Linked DNA regions of Oryctolagus cuniculus. The protein of the gene in region 1 interacts with the protein of each later gene in a pairwise test. Links are inferred from orthologs where the notes say so. Each region holds a gene or a part of one and is shown on either strand. Other genes may lie near its edges. The genes, in order: PPP3CA and AKAP5.

Region 1 (3,813 bases):
TCCCAAGGTCTGCATTAACAGGAAGCTGAAGTCAGGAGCCAGAGCTGGGTATTGAACCCAAGTTCTCCACTGTGGGGCTGAGACATCTAAACCACCAGGCCATATGCCTATCCCAATAGTTACCTCTTTAAAGAGAGTGCTTGATTTTTAACTTATGAATTATTTATTAAACATTTCTAATTATACTTTTACGTTATTATATTTTCACTTCCGGTATATTTTCATTTTAGACATCTTCCTTTTTCTTTTTCTTTTATTCTGAAATAGCCTTTCCAAGTTTCCCCAGGCCATGTAATTTTACTTTTGTTAACCATAGGTACTTCACTGTTTTCTTGTGGTCTGTGATCCTCAGTGCATGGGTATTTTAAGTGCAGATGAACCTTTGTTTTGTACTAATCATTGTTTTCTGTTTGATTATCAATATCCTCCATAGTAAGGCCTAACCTTTTCGGGATTTATGTTCATGATAACACACATGATTCATGATATGTGAGTAGAGGAATGTATAAGAATATAATGGTTAGTAATTATATCATTTTTTATGTTTCCCAGTGTGTGCTGTATTTGTGGGCTTTGAAAATTCTTTACCCAAAAACACTGTTTTTACTTCGTGGAAATCATGAATGTAGACATCTAACAGAGTATTTCACATTTAAACAAGAATGTAAGTATATTTCATGCCTGTTCCTTTAACACTTTGTGTGCTAAGTATTTTAATTCATAAGTGCATGTTACATTATGATGCATTGTCTGAAGTGTCACTATTTCATGTTGTCCATATTTCTGACTAAGCATGGACACTTATGAGAATGCATAATTTCTTTTTAAATTACAAATTCTCTATAAAATAAATTATTATTTGGCATAATTTATGCTAAGAAGCCAGTGATTAACTTGTTTAATAGAGTCAGATTACTACTATTGGGGATAATAAATCTATGTTTTCATCTCATATCACTCAAGAGAAGCAAATGGAGAGTGGCAAATGAACTCTCCCTCTATTTTTGGACACCAATAGATTAGAGCCACTAGTGTATTTTACAAAGGGTAGATGACTTCTTCCTTAGATCGTAGAAGTGGGGAATACTTGGTATAAATGTCACTTACCTCCTCTTAATTTTCCCTGTTGTCCACGGAAATTTGTTTCCCTGTAATTGAGTCCTGTTTTCAATGAAGCATTAATTTCTTCTCTTAAAACATTTGATATAAATCGATAAAAGAAAAGCACTAGGCTGTGAGCTAAAAGCAACTCAAGAGATTTCCTACCATCTGTTCTTAAAGTCACTAAGAACTACTGACTAGATTTTTGTCCATCTTTCTGTTGATCTCATTATCAGTATCTTTTAGTTTTGTGCTGTATCTGTAGATAAACAGCCAGAAGATATAAAAAAATTCTCTCATTTGCTATACAGAAAGTTATGAGAAAATGTGAAATATGGGTAGATGACAAAAACAAGCAACATTGGATATAGAAGCTAATATGCAAATCATTAAAGTGTTATTTGGTTATGTTTTGGAAGTTTGCAATGTGTAGTTTTATGCTAATAATAAAATGCCTGGTAAGAAAACATAAAAAAAATTTAGTGAAATGATCTTAGCTGTGAAATGATAAAGTAAATATTTGCTTTCTATTGTGCTTTAAAAGGTAAAATAAAGTATTCAGAACGTGTCTATGATGCCTGTATGGATGCCTTTGACTGCCTTCCCCTGGCTGCCCTGATGAACCAACAGTTTCTGTGTGTACATGGTGGCTTGTCTCCAGAGATTAACACCTTAGATGATATCAGAAAAGTAAGTTCTGTAATCTTCCAGGTCTCCTCATTTGGTGTGCTTCAGTAATAAGTAGAAGACATAATACCCTGCCTTTATCACTAACTTTATGTTTTTGAATTAAAATGATTGAAGTAACCATAAATCTCTTCTCTGTGTTAAATTTTTACCTGGAAAGGAAGATATGTTTATACTTTTCTTCTCTAACACCTTAGGATTCATGGTACCATATGACATGTTATTGGAAATATAAAATATTTGGTCTCTAAAAATCATGCCTTTTATTTCCATTGGCTTTTCCAAGCAATCCATTGTATATCCATAATATATCATCTCAAAAATGTTGCTTTGCCCTTGGGAAAAATACCATAACTTGACCCTTAAAAATGTGTCCATATTATGCTTTTTGCAGTGGAGGATGGCCCAAGTGCTTGGGCCCTGCACCCCATGGGAGACCAGGATAAGTACGTGGCTCCTGCCATCGGATCAGCGCGGTGCGCTGGCCGTGGCGGCCATTGGAGGGTGAACCAACGGCAAAGGAAGACCTTTCTCTCTGTCTCTCTCTCTCACTGTCCACTCTGCCTGTCAAAAAAAAAAAAATGTATTCATTACAGCTCAAAACTTTTAAGTGACAGTCTAACAAAGGAAATTATGTTAAGCTATTGATTGTATTGAGTGCCTAGGTGAAAAACAGTTTATGGGTTTTTGTTTGTTTGTTTTTTAAGATTTATTGTATTTATTTGAAAGACAGAGTTACACAGAGAGGTAGAGACAGAGAGAGAGGTCTTCCATCCACTGGTTTACTCCCTAAATGGCCACAACAGCCTGAACTGCACAGATCCAAAACCAGGAGCCAGGAGCTTCTTCTAGGTCTCCCATGTGGGTGCAGGGGCCCAGGGGCTTGGACCATATTCTACTGCTTTCCCAGGGCATAACAGAGAGCTGGATCAGAAGTGGAGCAGCCAGGTCTCGAACTAGAACCCATATGGGATACTGGCGCTTCAGGCCAGGGCTTTAACCCACTGCACTACAGTGCCGGCCCCCAGTTTATGTTTTAAAAAGCGTTTTTCTACCTAAATTGTCATTGGCTGTGTCTGTTTTACCAGCAAAAAGGTAAGTGAATTAGATTGGCTGTAGAAGTGAATTTAAAAAAAAAAATTAGAAAAATGTAGGATATATAGGATAGTTTCCTGTAGTACAAGTGATAATATTTTATTTCCTTATTTATGTTGATAATCGATCAGTACAACAATGTAAAGAAAAACATGAGCAAACAGGGTAATAAAAAGGTCCACATATTTTCCTTGGTGTGAAAATCCCCAAAGAGATTCATCTTTGTACATGTTTTCTCAAGTTATCTTAAAATAATATCATTGGAATTATTTTAAAATATGATAATTTGTTCACATTAATGTTTATAACAGTTTTATGAAATTGTTAGTGTTCACCACCTACATATTGCTCTTTGAAATTTGAAATAAAGTTTTTGTCTATAATTGGAAACCGTTTGAAAGCTAGATATTATAGGACCTTCTTTACTCCACTTTTAGAGTAGAAAATATGCTTTAATGTATCCCAAAGAGAAGAAACATGGACATGATTATAACTTTTGTTATCACTTTTGCCAGTACTTTTAGCAATAAATTGGTCACATTATTCTAAATTAATTCATTTGAAATATGAAACCCAAGATTTTCCTGAGTTTTAGTATAAAGCTACATACTATTTAATATTTACTCATTTAAGTCTAATGTATTATAAATGGATAGACTTCAAAAAAATCATGCACTAATCTCAATGAGTACAGAATTTATTAGAAAAGTACAGGAAGTCTTAGGAATAATCATGGACACAATTTACATTCTGGCTATTGCTTATTAAGAACCATTCTTATGAAGAACCCCTTGGTCTCACTTCTCTAAGTGACTGCCAATGAATTGTTTTTCCATTTGACTTTGAACACAGTACTGCTACGTCCTAAGAATCTGTATGTTGAACCTTGTATAAGTTTATTTTGTCAGCTGCCTTGAGTTATTAGTAGTA
Region 2 (4,499 bases), on another chromosome or scaffold:
TCTTCGGGGTACTTCTCATTCAGACTAGTGCATTGCTTAAAGGTTCAGGAACCCCATGCAAATGTAGAGCCTAGCCCATGCCAACGGTAGCACCTGCAGGGCACGGCCGTGCACTTGGCCGTGATGAGGACTGGTGCTGTACAATGTCCTCTCCTGTTGCCCACCCTCTGTCGATCCAGAGGGGCAAGGTTAAGCAGGATCTAGGGGTGTGTGAAGGGCGACGTGGGTAACGTGTAAGCATCTCAGCTGATTTGGGGGAATAAGCAATGTATAAAAGATAGGGAGCAGCCTCTGCGCCCCCTGGTCGAGTTGTCCGTGTCCGCACGGGAGCACTGCGCTCTGCTCTCTGCTCCGACTCCCGCTCTGACACAGCACACCCTGTGAGGCCCCAGAGGACGGCTCAGTGCCTGAGTCCCTGCCGCCCGCGCGAGACCCGGACCGTGCTCCCTGCTCCCTCGGCAGGCTTCCAAACAGGAAGCAGAGGTCTGAGCGCCCATTCGGCAAGGGACCGCGCTAACCTCCTTCCTCCCAAACCCACGCCAGTTTCCCTTCATAGGAAGGCGCTTCAGAATCTTCACAGGCAAAAGGAATTTAACGATGTTTATTTTGGTGCCAAAATCTTCAAAAACCGCACACATACAAGGGGGTCTTCAGCGAGTTCATGGAAAACGTATGTTATGAGAAAATTATGCGTGGCTTGAAAGCGTTTGCACCAAAATACACTTCTCTTTCAGTTCCATTTTTCCCGTTACTTTTTTTTAATGTTTATTTTTCACCTACTTGGGAAGTAGAATGACGGGGCGGGTGTGGGGGCGATATTCCATGCACCTGTTCATTCCCCAGCTACCCACAACAGCCAGGGCCCAAGCCAGGACCCCAGAACGCCATGGGGTCTCCCACCTGGGTGGCAGGGCCCCAAGCCCCTGGGCCATTACCTGCCGCCTCCCAGGTGTGCGTTGGCGGGAAGCTGCATGGCAAGCGGAGGAGCCCAGATTCCAACAGCGAGGCCCAGGGCAGCTTAACCCAAGGGGCACAACCGCCGCCCCTCCACGAACTTCTCGCAGCGGCCTGGGAACTGTCATTTTCTCTCCAGCAGACACCTCACTGCTCTGCGCAGGGTTTTCAGTTCTGCTTCTGGAAATGTGATAGCTGCCCTTCACGTTCAAGCTTGGGGCGGAGGGGGGTTGCAATGTGGGAAGAGCAATTTTTAAGACCGGGTTTGACTGCTGCTTGCCCCGTCTCCCCCGCATCTTCGGGCTCGCTCGCTCTCCCCTATGTTCTCCCGCCTTCGCCCCGCGGGGATCCGCTGCGGGGGTCCAATGGGGGGACCCGCTGCGGGGGACCGCTGCGCGGCCGGCGCACGTGGCGGGGCCCACGGCTCGCAGGCGGGGCCCCGAGCCCCGCCCCGGCGCCGCCCCCCGCCCGCTCCGAGCGCGTTGGCGCCGCTGCCTGCCTGTCCCCGCGCTGCTGGGGAGGGGGCGCTGCGGGGCCGCGGTCCCTGCGCTGCAGAGGGCTGCTGGCTGCGGGTGCGACTGTAGCTCGCCGACTGCCGGGGCGCGCCCCCGACCCCGGGAACGAGGCTGGCCGGGGACCGCTGCGCTCGGGGTAAGTGGAGGCAGGGCGGGGAGGAGGCTCCGGGGCAGTGTCCGGGAGGGTGGCCGGGCTGGCCGGCGGGGTGGGCGGGAGGTGGGCGGCGGGCGCGGGCTGCGGAGCGCCCCGAGGTGGCGGGCGCTCGTTGGTCAGCAGGAATCTGCAGCCAGGGCCGCCCCTGCCCACGCTGCCCACCCTCCCGCTTGGCGTTGCAGCGCGACCTGGAAGCCGGGGCTGCCCGGTAGCTTTTTCCTTCCTTACCGTCTTTTTTTTTTTTTTTTTTTTTTTGGTGGGGCGGGGGGAGGTAAAATGTGGTGATGGGTTCCTGGCCATTACCGTTTTGCAGCGAGCTCGAAGCTGGGTTCTCTGTTCACGCCCCCGGCATTTTCCTTTTTTGAGGACTTTATCCTGGGCTCTCTGTATCGTGCCAGAGGAGAGATTGACTCCCTGCAGGAGGAAGCGTCGAGGGCCCTGGCTGCTGCGGGGTCGTGGGTGCTCTGCTTTCTGCGGCGACGACAGCAGGGTCTCCGGAGGCTCCAGGGCGAGTCACCTGCAGAGGTCTCCTGTCTGCAGATTGAGCCCCCCCACCCACCACCCCCCACCCCGTCAGAGTGTGTGTGTGTGGCTGTTTTATTTCTGCAGTGTGATATGCATTCACCCGAGCGTCTCGAAGAAATTGTCTTTGAGAAATCCAGGTTAGTTGCAGATGACACATTCCTGAACATGATCTGACTTCAGTATTTCGATCAGGAATAACACCGTCTCCTTAATAAAAAGGCCCAGGGGCTGAGAACCCGCCAGAGGTGAGACGGCTTAGAGTTCTAACCAGCTCAGAGTCCAGCGCTTACCGCGGCATTAGGTGAGAGGGGCACCGGGAGACGTTTAGATTTGAATTCCATCGTGGTTCTAGAAGGATTCTTTCTGTTAGAGGTATGAAGGATGCAACCTAAGGGAATATTTGCTTAGGTTGTAAACGGATGTTCAGCGTTCCAGTTCTTTCTCAAGTTCATAGAATTAAGGGCTTCCTAAATGAGACACACGTGAGGGATTTGCATAAAAACAGTCTGAGGAAAGAGTCTCTTAGCTTATTTTAGGTCATATGACTTTTTTTCAAGGCCTCACTCCTTCTTTCTTGGGTGCCTGGGTAGCATTCTGTGGGTTCCTTTTCAAATGCACCTTTATGTGTACATGAAACTAATCTATTTGCTGATTGCATAGCTTGTCCGTTTATCTTAGGCTTTTTTTTTTTTTTTTTTTTTTTTTACTTAGTTGACCAAGACAGTAAAATATAAAGGATTTCAAAAGTTTGGCTTCAGAATAGCAAGAATTCGGTCTAGCCTTGGTTCGAGGCTGAGCTGATGGGCTGCGTTACGGTTAATAAAATGGCCGTTAAACACTGTTCAAGAATCTACATGAATGGTTCTGTTGCAGATTAGCCACTCCAGACAGTTGGTTTTCTGGTGAAACTCACAGAGCACCACCTCAGAGCACCAGGCTTCAGGAGCAGGCAGATCTGGACTGAATCTGAGCTCTGTTACCACTGTGCTGGGAAGTGTGGGGCCACTGCTTCATCTGTGCATGGTGAGAACGCCATCCACTCTGTAGTACGAGGAGACTTCAGAAACTATGGAAAATGCAATGAAAAGATGTTTATTTGTACACCAAAAAAAAAAAAAAAACCTTGAAATTCATGCATCATTTTGTCATTTTCATTTCCATGAAGTTTGTGAAGATCTCTTCTATATTTGTGGATTTCAATTTTTTGCACCAAACTTTTAATTTTTTACTTATTTCTTTAAAATGTTATGTGTTTGAAATGCAGAGTTGCAGAGTGAGAGAGATTTTTTTCCATCTGCTGATTCATTTCCTAAATGACTGCAATGGCTGGGCTGGGCCAGGTTGAAGCCAGGAGCCAGGAGCTTCCGGGTCTCCCATGTGGGTGGCAGAGGCCCAAGGAGTTGAGTTATTCTCCACTGCTTTCCCAGGTGCATGAGCAGGGAACTGGATTGGAAGTGGAGCAGCCAGGGCTGGAACTGGTACCCACATGGAATGCCAGCATTGCAGCCAGAGGTTTAATCCACTGCACCACAACGCCAGCCCCAAACTTATCTTTTTTAAAAAATGATTTATGAAGCAGAGACACAGAGAAAGAAGGCATGAACTTCCATCTGTTGGCTCACTTCCAAAAAGTCTGCAACGGCCAGGACTGGGTCCATTGAAGCTGAGATTTGGGAATGCAATCCAGGTCTCCTGTGTGGGTGGCAAACACTTGAACCACCACTGCAGCTTCCCAGGGTGCACATGAGCAGGAAGCTGGAGACAGGAGCCACGAAGCTGGTCTTCCAGCCCACATGGTTATCCCGAATGGTGTCCTAACCACTAGGCCAAGCCCCAGCTCCTAAACCAATCTTTTGATTTGAAGCCCTCTTACATTATAGTAGAGATTAGAGAAGTAACTATGATGCTTAGCACAGCCTAAGATGCAAAAGTTGCTCAATTACAAGGCTGGCACTGTGGCATAGCAGGTTAAGCTGCCGACTACGACACTGGCATCCCCTGCAGGCGCTGGCTTGAGTCCCTGCTGTTCCACTTCTGATCCTGCTCCCTGCTGATGTGCCTAAGAAGGAGGAAGATGGCCCGAGTGCTTGGGCCCCTGCATCCACATGGGAGATCTGGAGGAAGCTCCTGGCTCCTGGCTTCAGCCTGGTCCCAGTGGATGGCAGATCTGTTTCTACCGTTCTCTCTGTAACTCTGCCTCTCAAGTAAACCAATCAATCTTCAAAAAAAAAAAAAAAAAAAAAAAAGTCGCTCAATGACTGACTCTCCACTGTGTACATTATGGTAGAGAAGTTTGAACAGCAGACACTCCAGTGAAAATGCCAGAATTATACAGCTGATTTAAAAGTGGC

What was found.
Region 2: the proteins of PPP3CA (region 1) and AKAP5 interact in binary tests that used the Homo sapiens proteins (3 or more experiments, as listed by UniProt). The link is inferred for Oryctolagus cuniculus from reciprocal best matches to the Homo sapiens genes PPP3CA and AKAP5.

Annotation. Positions count from the first base shown.
Region 1 is NC_091439.1:64,208,532-64,212,344, forward strand, and holds part of PPP3CA (protein phosphatase 3 catalytic subunit alpha), read left to right. Parts: intron 1-552; coding exon 553-664; intron 665-1,645; coding exon 1,646-1,791; intron 1,792-3,813. UniProt on the Homo sapiens protein: Calcium-dependent, calmodulin-stimulated protein phosphatase which plays an essential role in the transduction of intracellular Ca(2+)-mediated signals. Many of the substrates contain a PxIxIT motif and/or a LxVP motif.
Region 2 is NC_091451.1:5,986,654-5,991,152, reverse strand, and holds the start of AKAP5 (A-kinase anchor protein 5), read left to right. Parts: upstream 1-1,419; 5' UTR 1,420-1,605; intron 1,606-3,021; exon of another isoform or gene 3,022-3,171; intron 3,172-4,499. UniProt on the Homo sapiens protein: Multivalent scaffold protein that anchors the cAMP-dependent protein kinase/PKA to cytoskeletal and/or organelle-associated proteins, targeting the signal carried by cAMP to specific intracellular effectors.